2 linked regions of the Lepisosteus oculatus genome follow. The protein of the gene in region 1 interacts with the protein of each later gene in a biochemical or structural test. Links are inferred from orthologs where the notes say so. Each region holds a gene or a part of one and is shown on either strand. Other genes may lie near its edges. The genes, in order: map3k1 and map2k4a.

Region 1 (8,562 bases):
AGTGAAAAATGTATCATGCATGTCTAGTGAAACCTTTTACTTTTGAAATGTTAATGGGAAAAATATCACCTGTTATATTTTAGCCATAGTTATATAAAAATTAGAATAAAAGCAGACACTTTTGTATGTAAATGGGCAAAGTGGAACATGTACAAAACATGGAACTGCGTTATTTACTATACTGGTTGCTTTTTAAATTGTCTTAAAAATAGGAAGAAAGAGTTTGTGCCTTGAAGGCACATTTAAATTAAGTTCCCATGTCAAATCTCTATCACTAAACACTCTTGAGAACTTTTAACTTCAAAAAGGACTCTTATAAACACAGACGAAACCACATTCCCAAAGAAACCTGGCTCAAAACAATAGTATCGGTTCACAATACAGTACATTCCCACTGCAGGAAATGGCTCCAGGAGGACTGGTCTAAACTTTGACAAAGATGGTTTCCGACCCACCTTATCTGAATTTTAAAGAAAGCATGTACTTAAACCATCCACTCTTTAAAACTGCAAAATCTTTAGGTAATTATGGTGAAAGACTCCCAACAAAAAAACATATCTGTGCAAAACTAACATTTCTGGATGCTGCTCTGTACTTAATTCTACCAGCTTAATGATCTTCCTGTGAGGCTAAAGAAAGTCTTATAATCAGAAGGGGAACCATTATGCCAGATAGTTTTAAGTGCTTACTCACTGTTCTGCTATTCAGCAATAGTTAAAATTATATTAATAATTTATTAACATGCCATTATTGTTGAGCAATTACATCTGTTATTTCTATTTACCATGGGATGTGTTTATATGTTTTTTATGTCTACATCTTGTATCTGGTTGGTGTGTTCTGCCCCGAGATATGTAAAGTAGCTTTTTATCTCACTTTCCATCTGTCCCTATTCAATACACTAAACTAGAACTATATTTATGCAGAAACTGGACCCGTGCGTTTTCAGTTGTACATTTTCAGAGGCAAAGGTGATATACCACATTGGAATACCGCTCTTTCACCATTTTATCTTGACGCATTGTATTCACCGTATATTATCCAATTCTACACCCCGATTTACAAAAAGCCTTCACCGCACTGACAACAAAAACGCAGTCCTTCATTCTAACCGCTTCGCTGCTTCATCTCACGCCATAACATTGATTCATTCGTCTGAGTAAAGGACTTCCCCATTAATTTTTAACTTTCACAGCAAGAAAAGTTTAACTCCACCAAAACAAAAAGATGTTTCGCTCTATGCACGTCTACTGCGTTTATAAGCGATTAGAATTAAAATATATCTAGCACACCTCTGCAGTCCGAAATTACTTGGTGCCCCCTGTACCACTGTTTAACTCCACTGTTGTTCTACACGACATAAAAAAGTTACATATTTCAAAAGAAACTGGCTTCTTTCTCCCCCCTCTCTCAAAGGCAATCACAGCCCTGCGCTCCTGCGAGTTTCCCCACAGCTGCACACCAGCAGAAACTGGCGTCTCCGCTCACGTGCTCGAAACCTTGCAGGCTTGAGGCGCAAGACCGGAGGAGGAGAGTTACAAATAAAGCACTGACGGGACCTCTTTTAAACTGTATGAATATACCACATTACTATCAATCCCATGCAAGCCATCATAAATCACCGATAGCTCATCTTGCATTTCCACGTCTTGATTTAATCGATTCAGTAACAGAAGACGTTACTTTCCTCGGAATGTTAATAAAAAAGGACTTTACACCCCATGTATACCTTGAAACGTACTACAAAATCCGGCTTGGCTATAGAAACAGCCGGAACAATGTCTTTCAACAGCTCCAGCTGATAGGCTGGAAACCACACGTTACACATTTTCAAACGTAGAGGCGATCATGACCTCTGTCACTGAGGTAGCAGGATGCGGACGTGGACTCAAGAAATGCTAGGAAACAGCCATTACGCACGTATTTTGGGCTAACGAGGAAAAGGTTGACGTGCCAAACCTGAGAAATAATTAAAATAAACGTTTGGTGGGACCGTTAACCTTAAAAGTAAACAATCGCTGTTTCGTTGATCTTCGGTGTAAAATGTTGAATTCCCACTTTCAGCTGCGGGAGAGGTATCTAGGTATCCGTGTGGCTTCATTAGGCAGAAGATTTCAGTTTGAGCTCTGACATTAGAAACCAAGAGGAAAACGGGGTTATTTTTAAAACCAGGCAATGGTGTTTCAATCCCGGGGTCTCTTCCACAATTAATTGCATCCCGAAAGCGCATTTCCCAATCTAAAAGAGACCAACTCTTTCGCCGCCTGCGCCTTTGAGATTGCGATTTCCAAGATATAAAACACAAAAAAATCCGTAAATTTCCTAACGTTCCCCCACTAAGAATTTAAACGGATCGCAATTCACTTCCCGGCGCTTTTCACACAATCAACTCTTCTTTAAAGGCTGCAATGTGGTGACACTCACAAAAGTTTCGGAAATCACATCCGCCGGGAAAAGTTGAAGCGCTTCTTGCACTTCTGCCGTGGCAAACATCCACCTCACCCGTAAAGCAGATCACAACACCCACAACACGAAAAGCAAAGCCCGTTAAATTCGAGACTCCGGGGGGAGGAGGAGGGGAGTAAGGCTTAATCTCCTACCTATGTGGTGAAGAGATCATGTCCAGTGAAGCCCCCGTGGCACCACAGTCTGCATTGTGGTTGCCGCAGCTCCCACGAGTGGAGATGCTCAGCAATTCCAGAGCGGCGGCAGCGCACAAGCCGCCGGCGTGACCCGAGCTGTCCGACACGGGGCGGCTGTGCAGCGAGTTGCTCTGCGGAGCCGGCTGGCTGGGTTGCAGGAGGGTCGCCTGGATCCCACCGGGAGTAGAAATCGACAAGAAGTGCAGCTGCGCCGATATCGGAGCAGTCCCGGTCTCGGGAGACAGCAGCAGCGACTCGGGCTTGTCCAGATCTACACTCCTCACTTTCCGCAGCTCCCTGCGTCTCCACTGAGGGTTTTCCCCGCCGCAGCCGCTCTTCGCCGGCCCGAGGCTGCTCGGAAGACCAGCCGTGCTGGAGGTGCCCTGAGAAGGACTGCCGACGCCACTGCCGTTATTTAACTCTGCTATTCCCGACGACGAGGTCCGGCTCCCCGCCGCCGCCATTTTCTGTCCCGGAGTTTATCATTCAGGCTCTTTGGGAGAGGGAGTGGAGGGAACTGGGGGAGGAGAGGTGGAGAGGAGGAGCGAGAGAGCTGCTGGTGTTTACACACTACCGCAAACGGCGCAGCTGGGGCAGCGTGCTTTGCGTAGCTAAAGATTGCTGCTTATGGGCTTTAAAAAGTGAGACACCCGAGTTACTAAGGCTGGAGTAATGTTATAAATAGCCAAAAAAAGTTACAATCTGATATGTTTACCGTATTGGGTTTTCTCCTTGCCATTCGTTCTGTTTGCCTTTATTCCGTGAAGCTAAAGTATTTACTAAATCGAGGACATGCTCACGTTCACCAGTTCTAAAGCTTAGTTAAAATGTAAAAAATAATTGCCGTTATAAGAGTAATACAAATTCGTTAGTAGGTAACATTTTAATGTTTGTGGATTGGTGTTACAAATGTGATGAGTATCTAGTTGGAGACCATATTCAAATAAAAACAGATTTATTCATTTTATTTTCGTATTTTTATGGTGCTTAATGTTTTTACACCTGTACTAAGAATTTCATTGGTATACTGTTAGTTACCTGTGTCATTTTCGATTTCACCTGTCGTTTAGTCTCTGAAGAATATGCAGTCACTGTAAATCACCTGATATCATAAAGTGGGACGGAGAGTGAACATTTTCTGATTTTTAGAATTCAAAAGGCCAATGTTATGAAGATTAGTCATTTTTCAAGTCGTGATATAATAATCCATTCCAATTTTAAAACTCAAACGCTTACCAAACGAATCTCACCTGTTGTTCCTGACAGCTGGTACATTGTATTCAGGATAAAATACCCACCATCTTTCCCATTTAGATTAACAAACTTACAAACAGAAAAGGCAGACTTGGTTCAGTATGTGGAAGTACCACAGATAGAAATAGTTATTGACGGAAGGTTGCGCGCAAAGATATTTGTTGTCTGACCAAACTACCTTTCTCCTTTAGCCTGTGGTAACAGCTGTATGCCCCTTTGTCCACACTAACCACTATTACATTTTATACAGTGTATAGTGTCACTGATATCGGAAAAGGACTGTATGGGGAAATGCACCGATACTCTTAGGAGGCACCGTATATTGCCACCCAAGCCTGCATGATGATAGGATATCCAGCCAAAATATCCACAACCAAATGTATTGTACTAGTAATTTATATATTATATAGTAAAGATAAAACTGCCTAGGGGTTGTAAAGAGCCTAACAACATGTGGATAAACAATTACTTTTTGTTTGTTGAGTATGGGATGTTTTCTGCTTTACACAACAAAACCCTTATACTTGGTAAACCCAGTACACCTGGTGGTGGACAACTAACTTGGGGAAATCAAATGCTACAGTTATGTTTTTATTTTTGAGCTGTAAAAATGTGTTTGTTTAGTTTCAAAATTCATTTTTAAATCATGTCTATAAATATAAATGTATAAATATTTAATTTATATAAATGTACATTTGTGTTTGACACATCGCTTTACTTAACCATGAGTGAGTGGTATGACGTTTCCTTTTTTGTTCAATTTTTTTATTTTATTTAAAGCCTTGCACATGTGAAAAGGGTAATCAGTCTTCTGGTAGACATACTCTCACGGAAAGGCGAAATTGGATAGATGAATATATCTGGAAGTTAATCCAAGTAATCCAACCCAGATGGACAAAGAAAAGCTATGGTCAGGAGAGATTACTGTTGTATGTACCATCAATTAATAATAACGTCCTTATTCCAGTTAAGCTATACATTACTTTTCTCCCTCCTCAGTGTTAGGTTTTTATGGTGAAGTCCTAAGTAAAAACACACTATATATTACCTGTTATTTCCTTCAAGTGTCAAAAGTATTGACCAAAACAACTCAGAAATGTTATTTCTGAGACATTGAAGCTCTTTGAGTGACTGAGTTTCATCAATTTTCAACTTTTGAAGGCCAGCACAGGGCCGCAGTGTATTGTTCATCTAAGAAAAGACACCAGAATAGGATAAAATCAAGAATGTACAAGGAAAATCAAATGCAGACATAGAAACCTAAGTAGTAGAATACTGTGCAAATCTCTTGTGTACTTGTTTTTGTATTGGGGACCAGCATACCCTGGGGCTGCTGTTCTAAACGCAGACTACTAGAGGTAAAAAGCTCAAAAAGACTCGAGAATTCTCTCACTGTCACCGCCTGTCTCTTCCTAATACTGCACCTTAAAGACGCTGTAAGCAGAGTCTGGAGAAAAGAGCCTTATTTCAACAGAAAAGCAGGACTGACATTCTTATTAGTGATATTTCTGTTCTGAACTTCAGTGAACAGGAGTGAAGTTTCAAGACTTTGAAATATATATGCTGAGTGAACACTGGCAGGAGATATGGTTTCATACCCAAGGCAAAAAATTTAGATATTTTTACCTTTTAAAAGTTCATTCGTCCGTAGGCTATGAAAACAACCTGGGTAGTAATTTGAAAAAGAAACATTTATCCTTCTGATATAGCAGTGTTCTTTCATGGCCAGTAACAAAAATACCTTTATACCTTTGGAACAAAGAAGATTAAGTGTGAGAAAAAATTGTATTCCAAAGTGTTAGTTATAAGTAGTTACATCTTTTAAAATAGCTTAAAATTGTGAGAATGAGAATGCATGTCAGTGTAAAAAAACATTTTCACTTTTATTTTAAAAAGTGACTAGAATGTTACAGTGTTACTGACTGGACAAGAAAAATAACTCAAAAGCAAGTTAAAATTGATGGGTTTTAACTGAGGACATTCCTATCATGTACCTGCTAAGTAAACAACAGCACTTTTAAAAGGTCCTCATAAACCCTTAAAATAGCTTCTTCTAGTTTAGAGAGGTTTGTCATGGGTTCTTATGCAAACAGTAGCATATAGACTCTACAGACATAAACACTCCCCTTTTTAGGCAGTGCAGAACAATGCAAATTTTACATTGGAAAAGCATGCACTACCGGTCTTGACTTCATTAGGGTAAGGGTTGGACGGATTGCCTAAAAATGTTGAAAATTATTGATACCAACACATGAATAAAATAAGGTACATCAGAACAGACTTATAATCTTCTAATCAGTGGCATTGGTTTACAATCTCCATACACCCTATACAATTACATATCATTGTTCTTCTCTTCAGATAAGTAGGGTGACAGCAGTGAGACATACTGTACTGTAAGCAGCATTGCATGATCAATGAAATTATTGCTAGGTAAAATCTAAAATGTGTAAATCTATTATTATATTCAGCAATATCATATTATACCACTCTATTTGAAGATATTTATAACTCATTTATAGATATCTTTAATTTTTTTATAGATTTTGAGATACTTCTTAATCAGTTTAAGATCTATTGTAAATATTAATAGATACTTACACATAGTTATAAATGTCTTTAAATGTATGAATATATCTAAAAATGATTAAGACATATTGTTAAATGATTATTTGGCTTGCCACATAAAACAGAGTAAAGTATTTGATCTTTCTTTGCCACTAAAATTAATTTAGAATAAAACAACAAGGTACAGGTCAGTAACCAGGTCCTGTACCTGTAGCCATCCTACAGTATGTTACTAATGTACAGTGATGCAAGTGTTAATTATTTTGACACATCATCTTTCTTTACTTAGCAATTCTCTATGGGTAACACAATTTCTGCAGCCAATGTACAGAAACATTTTGTTAATTTATACTATAAGTTTTCAATAAATGAACGTTGTCTGTAAATCTACCACAATACCAAATGGCATCCCATATAGATATTACCAATATCAATGTCATTTCGGTTATAGCTGCATTTTGTTTTAATTTGTTTTGATGCACCATGGGAATTTACATTGGAAATATTTCTGGCAGCTTTAGTTGCATAAATAGAAGAAAATTACTCATCCATCCATTTTCTAACTACTTTATCTAAAACAGGGTTGTGGGGGAGCCAGAGCCCATCCCAGCAAGCAATGGGCACAAAGCAGAGTATAACCTGTTCAGGACACCTGTCCATACCAGGGCATATGGACACAAACTCATTCACACTGGAGCCAGTTTTCCTAGAAGCAAATTAACCTACCACTATTTCTTTGGACTGTGGAAGGAAACCAGAGCACCTGGCGAAAACACATCCCAGGTCTGGAATTGAACCAAAGCTGAAATGCTAATGACTGGGCACCTTGCTAACCTTGACAATAAATCATGATAGAATTATTTTGCCAGGAGTACAGGTAGCATCATTCACTACTCAAATACAGATATGAATGTCAGGAAATTGAACATTCTAGCCTAATTCATTAGAACTCCGCCACAGTGTTTAGAAACCACTATAACAAGCTGCAACATAATAAGATGCCTTTTGTATTAGCTTGGAAGAGACAGTTAACTATCTTGCCCTGTGATTGGCACGTACAGTACAGAGAAGCAAAGAAGGTCAAAGATCAATGAGTGCTGTCAGATATCAGATCTTCTTCACACCTTATGAACTTTATCATTTTTACACAGTAGAAGACAGTTCAGCTCTCAGGTGATCTCTGCCTTTCCTCAGTGGGCCTCGTGGTTGTAAAGTTTTTCTTTGAAGACATTAGAAGAGCTAAATTAACGCAGAGCTTCCCCATGTGTCCCAGGCACAGCCTGGCAACCTCCCTGAGCTGCAATTAATGAACTCTTAGATACAAGGTTATCTTCACATTTATCGTGAAAGTGATTTTTTATTTTAGAAATCAATTATTTTTACCTCCATTTAAACTAAGATGTTACCTTTTGTATTAGCATCAAATTATGAAATCCAAAATATAATTACAGTTGTTCATATAAAACAGTCAGGCTCATTTTAGTTTTAAACGCAGTCAAAAACCTATTTCAACATTTCTATCTAACAGAGTTACAGTCAATGAGCTGTTCTCAACATTTCTGGAAACGGAGAACTGAGTTAGATACAACAACAACAACAACAACAACAACATTTTGTTAATGCTAACTAGCTGTAACATGCTGTGCCCCATATTATGAAATACAGAAATGAAAACACTCAAGGATACATCCATAAAAACTCAGGTGCTTTTGCTTTCAGTTGATAAAATATACAATTAATTCATAGGTTATGATTTGACAAGTCATATTTTAGTAGACCAAAATAATCATGGTTTCACTCAATGTGGTTTGATTATCTCCAGTCTGATCTGCTTTTCATATACAAATAGTCAACTGCATGTTCCTCATCAAAAGCAAACCTTTTGAAGGATTTTTTTGATTCACAAGAAGCACTCTTTACCTTTCCATTTTACTCTTATTTAACAATCTTTGTGCTGAAAATGTGCAACAACAATGAAGTGTGAGGCAGGTTAATGTATAAAGAAATGTATAATTTAAGAAGCCTGGAGTTTTTTAAACAAATTAAAGAATGATATTGCATATTGAAGACTTTATATGCAAGGGTAGCCCTACTATTA
Region 2 (8,769 bases), on another chromosome or scaffold:
AAAGGAAGCCTTCATTGTGTTAATCACAAGAAATAAAGTAGCTTACACACGGCAACTGCAGAAATAACTAAGAAACAAATAAAGGTCTAAAATAAGTACATAAGAAAGGTTACAAATGAGAGGAGACTATCTGTCCCTCTTAGTACAGATAGCTACAGACAGCTAGTACTTAACTATCTGTAGATAGTAGTAGCTGGTAGCTAATTGATCCAAATGTCTTCCTTCTTTTAAAGGAAGCCAGGTTTATCAGCATCAAAAACATGGCTGCACAGCTCTAGTTCTAGACGTTATGTAAAGAAGTGCCTCCTATTCTTAGTTTTAAATGTACTTCCCTGCTTGTTTTCTTACAAGATTTTCACAAGACATTCAACGGGTCAAATGGCCAAATCCCAATAAACTCTCTGACAAATAAGGTGATTAAGCAATTATTCAACAGTCAAAGTAAGGTATGTCCATAATGGTCAGTCATGACTGATCATTTAATCAAACATTGTGAAAACATATTTAATATTCAAATCTATTTTGTGTTGGAAAAGAAAATAAAATAAAGAGTGACAAGCTTTTTTTCTGATGCCCACTATATGTACTGTCACTTCAAAGTCAGATGTGTATAGGCCTTATGATATGACGAGACTGAAGAAAATATACTGTATTTATGTACATGTGAAAGCTTAATCTAGTTTAATAGCACTGTCAATACTAATACAAGCTATTAATTAAAGCTGAGTAATAACAAAAACTTTAAAGCTTCATTCTACAGCTTTGCAGAAACTGTAGAATTTGTGTTTTGAACTACTGTGAAGTTAATTAAATCCAACATGGTTTTATTAAAATTCCCCATGAAAAGTACCTTAGCAGCTAAAGATCAAGCTGTTCCTTTCTTCACAATGGTCAAAAAGCCAACTTATAATGATAGTAGTGCTAGTAACTAATTGATACAAGGGCCTCACCATGGTGTATTTTGAAGAATAACACAGAATCAGCTTTGCTTATATGATGGGATAGCTTGTTACTAACACCTACTTCCAAAAACTCCTTTTATTCAACTTACCTCCTTTAAGCCTAGTTATTATTTTCAGTCCTCTACACCTGGACTGTATTTCCATCTCTGTTATCTGCAGTTCATCTACAGTAGGCTATCTTCAATGTGCTTGGACACCTAACCCATTCATGTGACTTTTAGCAGGATACAATTATGTAACTATGCCACACAGCTGCACAGCAATAATAAGGAACTGCTGCACTTTTAACAAGGCTTGTAATTCAGCAAACGCATGGCAATTGCAGAACTGTGCTCAAACTGCATTCTTCAATTTGATTTCTTGCAGCTCGGTAAGCTTTGGCAATACTCCTAAGGGATTCCAATCAATTCAAACTTAGTCAATAGCCAAAATATTAAGCTATGAAACAACAGCTTTTGCCAGCACCTTTTCCTTCAGTGCCATAAACTAAAAGTGAAAAACATACTGCCAACCCCTGACCTAATGGACACACAAAATGGGAGTAATCTATTAATACTGCATGCGTTGCACAGACATTTCTTTCACATAACAATATGGAAATTCAAGGTAAAAAGCATTCCAATGGACATAAATACTTTTTCACCAACTACTCTTATTTGAATAGGAATTTCCTGCATATTTTACCCATGTGCTGACTGTGCAAATATTGGCATTTCAATCACATATAAGTCCTACGGAAATTAATACTACACAATAAAAGTAGTTAATATATACGGCATGAACTAATAAAGAGTAGACTACTATTTCACTGGTATAAACTGATAAAAACAGTGGATACAGTATGTGTTCTTTTAAAAGCTTCAACATAAAATGCTTTCTTTCCTTAGTATTTAATACAAAAGGGCTTTTATCACAACAGAGATGCATTAGTAACATCCCCAAGCACTGCAGCCACATTGAGATGTTTATTTTGTGTCTGACAGCACGGCACTTAAAAACACATTTTACTTCTCAGTTCATAAAACATTACTACAGTACATTCCTATAAAATAGATAATAAAGTACCTGTTTCATTCTGACACCTCCAGCACGTGTTGGTCTCTGCAAGGTTTAAATGAAACATTTTATTCCTTGTATAATGCAACAATGTGTTATTAATCATGACTGTATTCATCTCGCCTACATGATTATCATGGCGCATTAGTTCATAAAATCTTCTGGCCATCGAATGTACACAAAGGAAGGGAAATCTGCAACATTTTTTTCTACAGTGCCCATTTTATTAAATATTTTATTGGCTGGAGATTTAAAGAAATTGCTACAGTAATCCACAAAGCGTTTGTACAGCTTCAGAGTTCGATTTTTTTATTTAATTTGCGGCGTAACATTAGTACTAAAACCATTATTAAACAACCTGTAGCAAGAATAAGCACTGCATAGTAGTCTTCAATAGCATAGGTATATGTGAACCAGGCTACTTACTGCACGTGAGGCCTTGAAATATCAAAAATAACACAACACAAGAAATGACAAAGCTCATTTAATTGAGCAGGTCACTGCAGCTTTCTAGCGGTATCCCTGAGTTTAACCTTTCACATTTGCAATGTAAAAAAATGGAACTGAATTTTAAAAGAAATGAAAAATATAATTTAAAAATCCGTATAAAACTAGACTATTTAGGCCTTTGGCCATAAAAATCATTCAGTGAAAACCGCCCCATAGAAATCCAGATCTGTAAAGTGATTTAACACGATGTCTAACACGTCTCGCTCTCGCAATCTTCTGGATTTTAGAAATGCCACGGAGAGGTAAATTAAAAGCTTCCTAAACATAGAGGCCTACAAACAGTGGCGATAAGGAAATGCAAACTGCATCGCTACGGTGCAGCATTACTAGAGTACACAGTGAGACTTTCACCAATCATGTTCTCCAATTATTCTGATAAAATAAAAACGTTTACGGACTTTTTGTTTTCTGGCGCTTACCCTGCATGCTGCTCACTGTTGTTATGTGCTGAGACTGGGACTGGTGCTGATGTGATGTAGATGTAGATCCTGCGTTATTGCTGTTGTTGCTGGAAGAGGTTGTTGAGTTGGTGCTGGGGCTGGGAGTCGCCATTGTTGTGTTTGATTCCAGCAGCAGCACTGAGGCTGCAATGCAGTGAGTGGCTTCACCCTTCACAGGCAGGGACACCTAGCTACAGAACTCAATATAGCACTACACCGCTTCAGTCTAAAACCCTTCAAAGTCTCGCAGGACACCTAGCTACGAAACTCAACATAGCAGAATACAATTTATATAATAAACTACTATTCAGTTTTGAACCATTGAGCAATCACGAGACAACTAGCTTGAGAAACCAGCACTACACAATACAGTACTCGGTTGAAGTACTCTATGTGACCAGCCCGTCAATTTCCGCCTACGTAGTCTGACAGCGCCTCAAAATCCACAATAAAGCAATAAAGTCTGATAAAGTCCGAGTATTTCCCATTCCACAGTAATCACCAGACCACTCCTAGTGCTATAAATGAAAGCCCTGAATTAAAAGGAGCCAAGACACACAAGGCATAACATTTGCGGTGCGAGTTGTAGTTAGTCCCACTTTATAAATAGTAAAGCCGTTGTTCAATCTAAGTTACATATTTTCAAATTATGCAAGGATTTGGTTATACTCTCCTCCCCCACCCAGAAATGGCAGTACTGCAACCTAATATGATTTTAGTGCTGAATGTAGAATAATTACTTGGAGATTTTCGTATACAAAAATTAAATACTACCTTTATCCCCTTACGTTTGACATAAATCAAAGCAGCTATAATAGCTGCAATAAAAACAAAATAACTGGACTGCTATAAATAGTAGCCGTTTGGGGGTTGGGGTCCCTGTAGTTGTTTATTCCTTTTGGGGATTTGGGGATTTTAGGTTGTGTCAGAGTGGGATTACAGGATGTCAATTCAGACTGAACAGGCAAGTGTGTGAATGTGGAGTGTGACTACAGTAGGACCTGCAGTGCTAAGTAGTGGTTAGTATCTGTGAGTTACAGCAGCTGTAAGAACTTTCATTTATTTTCAACATGTCCACATTATCATTATTGAACTGTAGTTTGACCTTCTGTCTCAGGAGGTCCTGAAGCAGAAGGGAATTGGAGACTAGGAGACAGGAGAGATAGAAACACAAATGCCATGTTGTAAAAAGGAGTACTCTCCGGGTCATTGTAAATACAAATTTGTTCTCTAAATTCTATAAAGTATTGATGAGTAGTGGAGTAGTGTGTGTAGTGGAGAATATGTGTCCCTTTATTAGGGCGGTGCAGTGGCTCTGTGGTTAAGGATCTGCGCCTGTGGCTAGAAGGTTGCCGGTTTGTATCCTTCAGCCTGCAGAAAAATCCTACCCCATTGGGCCCCTAAGCAAGGCCCTTAACCCCAACTGCTCCAGGGTCACTGTAAAAATGGCTGACCCTGCACTCTGACCCCAAGCCTCTCTCCCTGTCTGTATGTCTCACGGAGAGCAAGTTGGGGTATATTGAAAAGACAAATTCCTAATACAAGAAATTGTATATGGCCAATATATGATCTTATATTTCTTACTGCAGCATTATTGACTAGAAAAGCCTTTATAGAAGTGTACTGTAGTATGTCTACATATCCATAAATAGCGTACCAAGAGGCCATATTGCCTAGGTAAAGATGTGTATATGTAAATATATATTAATAATGCCTGTATCCCTATATGTCTATGGCGTGATGTTTTGGCTCTTGCATGACTCTTCTGAGAGGAGAATGCTCATAACTGTGTTCAGTAGGTGTGGTTGCTTATGACCGTCAGTGTGAGATTGCCCACACTGTCACATCACCACAGTCCTTGGGGTATAAGGGCCCCTTTTAGAGAGAGAGAGAGAGAGAGAGAGAGAGAGAGAGAGAGAGAGTTAATGCAGTTAGTGTCAGTCTGTGGGGCCGTGTGTTGGTGCCATCAATTGTCTGAGCTGCCTCTTTCAGATAAATAAAAAGCACACCACCCTTTTGGAGCTGCAGTCTGAGTCAGAAGATATCCTTTATCTTCAGGGCTTGCATAGATGCTGAGCAGTGTTACAATAATGTTAGTGGTGTCAGAGTGGGATTACAGGATGAAAATTCAAAGTGAACAGGCAAGTCAGTAGAAGGGCAATAAAAGCGAAGCACAGGACCACCAGTGTCTTCCAGGAGCCAGCTGACAGAAAACAGACTCCCGATACAGGAGGAAGATGTAACTGGGGAGCAAAGAAAGACTCCAGGCAGCAGAAAATTCATACAGAGATGAAAGGCACTAGGCAGGCCCCTCGACCCTGCTGGTGTGGAGGAGAGATGGAGGAAGAACTCCTGCATCACCTCCAGACCTCCTTGCGGCATGGGAATAGATCAGGAAGGTGGAAGACTGGCTGCAACAGTCAGCTTTTTAAATGGCTGAGTGGACCTGCGTAGGCACAGTTCACTTTTATGATGGCAGTGAGCAAGACCTGGCTCATTGTCCGGATCACTGAGGTTTTATGTCTGCCAGGGTAACATGGTAGTATGGCAGGTGCATGACCAACTAGTATAACTGGAGAACAGTTACAATAACAGCAACACAACAGCATTTTAATATTCTTTATTGTTCCTCTAAAGACATATGTCCAGATCTTTTCTTCTGTACCTCGATAAATATGCATTTATTTAAATGTTTGTTAACAGTAGATAACAACAGTTTACTACAGTATTCTCACAAGATCTACCAAAATTTTCAACTTTGTGCTTTCGCTTAATGCACAATGCACAATGCACAGTACAATACTATTCATTTGTGCTCTGTAACTAAGCTAATGGAACTATAATTCCCAAACTGCATTGCAAATGTCCATGTGATCTGACTCAAACTCAATAATGGCAGTTTCTTTTCTCTGAGCAAAGTACTGAAGAAAATAAGTAAAATGAGCAAGAAATACGAATTAACAAAAAACGGAAAAACAAAAAGCGGGTCTTCGGAGTGTTTTCAAGTATTATGGAGAAGCTGCAATTTATGTATGTTTTTTTTCTTTGCTTTAGCGGCATATGTGCAGGCAAGTACCGTACTAAAGACAAATGTGACTGGTTTTGGAAATTAAAGTGCAGTTGTTTTTATATATTTGTTTAAACTCTTTTATATCTTTATGGGTGTCTGTATGCTGTTTATATTAATAAATAGTACTGAGGCTGGTTACATACATTCTAATGTTTTAGAATTTAGAAGTCATAAGCACATATATTTCAACACTGTCATACTTAAGGAATTCGATGTCATCGTTCTGAATGCATTTTATGTATTTTGAGCAATATGCGGTATGGATAACTCAACATCCAAAAACGTATTGTTTCTCTCATGGCATAAACGTTTTTTGTTTTAAAAAACACTTTTAAAACTATTTTTTATCATTGTTGCTCTTTCAAACTAGACAGAAAATAAATAAATTTAATTATTTTTGATTATTCCAGATCAATGACCCCGATGCTGGCATATGGATGGTGAGTCCTAAACAGTACACCGTAGTACGAAGTATAAAACTGAATTCTTCACTTCAGAGAAAGCATACGAACTCTACCAGTGCGTATCTTCAAATGCATCTTGAATGGCCTCTGAAAAACATCGAGCGACACCTGCTGGCTGTATTTGTAAAATGTGACTGTTTTTATTTCCTGACTTCCAATATTATAAATGCGTTTGTATTTACAGGTTGCATATTCAATCCCAGCTTCTTTGTGTTTTCTGATAAGCCTTAAGCCTCCAATTACAGGTATGACTCTATCCTGATATCTGTTTTTATGTCATGAAAGCTGATCCAGTCCCTCCTATGTTATGTAGCTCAGTAACTTTGCAAAATCAAGATGAATGTGTTGTTTTTCAGAGGTATTAATCTGGAGGAGACTATCTGATCTTCATATGCTTATTTGTGCTGCTGTAGCTGCCATGTTGGGATGGTCCTTGTATAAAAGTAAAGCTGAAAATATCTTCCAGAAAGAAGAAGGAAGGTAATTGTCACTTTTCTATCCATAGGTAAACTCTGGCTTAGGTTTGAGCAATTAATATTAAAGACTGATTTTATAATTAATTCCTTAGTTTTATTTAGTAAATCCTAATGGATTGGCATCTGTTCTGAAAACACAACTATCAAGAAAATATAATTAAACATGTCAGTTATATTGGTCAAGAAAAAAAAGAATTGAATGTAATCTTAAGTACAGTTATATACACCATTGATGTAATCACCCTTTACTTTTATTTTTGGAAGTATTGTTACACTTCACTTGGTTTTAATCTCTCTCACCTTAGTTGATCACTGTATCATTTTTTTTGCTGTTCTCTAAGAGAGTTCTCTGGATTATTATTAATCGTGGTATGGCTGATCCTGTGTCGTCATTCAGGAAGGTGAGGTGTTCCTCTTGTTTTATTCATTGGTGAGAAATGTGATTAAAATGTGTTTACACTCTAATAGATATTCTAATGCAGTTTCTTCATTTTACAGTTCATTTTATCTAAAGGTACTGTAATGCATCTAAATCTATTTCTTTAACCGAAGGTTAAAACCTTTTTTACTTTACTCTCCTATATTAAAATAGCTGTTAAAAGGAATTCAAAACAATCAAAAGTTGTTTCTTTATCCATATTTTCTTAATAAAAACAGAGGCAAGAATCATAGAAAAAGTAGATTTTTACTTATATTGTATACTTTTATATTTAAGTAGGTAGCTGTGTCAGCATGTGTAGGCTAAAGGTTTATTCCATGCAGAAAAGAGAAGAAACCCAAGGCTCCACAGCCGAAACATTATGTTTATTTTCTTCTCTTTTCGGCATAGAATAAACGTTTACTTGTTCCTTAACTTTTGAAAACTAAAATGGGACATATCGTACTTCCTTTCTACAATGTCAAATTATAGTTTAGTGATGAGATACGTAATAATTTGGGCTTCCTTCTAATGACACTGAAGTCAAAATGAAATTGCAGAAGTTTTAGATTGACTTTTTCGATTGACTGTTTTTAAAATGTACAACATTGGGTAATGTTTTCATCCAGCCCAATAAAAGTCATTTTAAAATAGGTTCAGCATATCCAGTTATTTGTTTTCTATTTCAGGAATTCAGTTGGAGCCTTAAGAGTTTCCACTGCTGTGGGAATCACAGCTTTCCCTTTGGTGACATGGCTGTACTACTACATCAACAAGGAGCTGAGGTCCTCCTGGCCCTCACATTGTAAAACTGCACTTTAAATTACAAGAAAGAATATTAAGATAAACCTGTGTTTATAATACCACTGAATATGTTCCAATGTTTACAATTACTGAATATGTTTGTAAATAACCTGACATGTACACAGTAAATCCAATTTGCATTTTTGCATCAAAAGTTAAAAAGAGAATTCAAACGTGATACCTGTTTGATTGTAGAATACATACATGAAGTATATTTTGTCTCACTGCATTACACAGTTAGGTTTATCCTTAATGTATTTAGAATTTTTCTCTACAAAAAGCCTTTGGACTTTGTGAAGTCAAGAAATTTGAACTGAAGAAATCTTTGGGGATTCCTTATATAATGAACTAAAAGAACAGCACTAATTCAGTATCAAAGTTGTCAACAGGACCTTTGTAGAAATACTTTTGACCTAAAATATAGCATTTAATAAAATCTAAGTTTTACCAGACCTTTTAGACCTTAATTGTATTTCTTGAATAGTAATTTATTTTCAAACCATATTGCTCAAAACATGGCTAATGTTGGACATATACTGGCAACTAACACACCTAAAATAGCTGGAAGA

Evidence for each region.
Region 2: of the proteins of map3k1 (region 1) and map2k4a, one has a biochemical effect on the other in vitro, tested with the Homo sapiens proteins (7 studies listed by BioGRID and IntAct, with this or other methods). The link is inferred for Lepisosteus oculatus from reciprocal best matches to the Homo sapiens genes MAP3K1 and MAP2K4.

Annotation. Positions count from the first base shown.
Region 1 is NC_090698.1:26,236,015-26,244,576, forward strand, and holds the start of map3k1 (mitogen-activated protein kinase kinase kinase 1), read right to left. Parts: upstream 3,257-8,562; 5' UTR 3,107-3,256; coding exon 2,601-3,106; intron 2,532-2,600; exon of another isoform or gene 2,425-2,531; intron 1-2,424. UniProt on the Homo sapiens protein: Component of a protein kinase signal transduction cascade. Activates the ERK and JNK kinase pathways by phosphorylation of MAP2K1 and MAP2K4. May phosphorylate the MAPK8/JNK1 kinase.
Region 2 is NC_090704.1:37,381,917-37,390,685, reverse strand, and holds the start of map2k4a (dual specificity mitogen-activated protein kinase kinase 4a), read right to left. Parts: upstream 3,348-8,769; 5' UTR 3,081-3,347; coding exon 2,948-3,080; intron 2,064-2,947; coding exon 2,028-2,063; intron 1-2,027. Other genes in the region: tmem220 (transmembrane protein 220), read left to right, coding at 5,908-6,036, 6,449-6,478, 6,687-6,747, 6,859-6,982, 7,320-7,379, 8,086-8,218. UniProt on the Homo sapiens protein: Dual specificity protein kinase which acts as an essential component of the MAP kinase signal transduction pathway. Essential component of the stress-activated protein kinase/c-Jun N-terminal kinase (SAP/JNK) signaling pathway.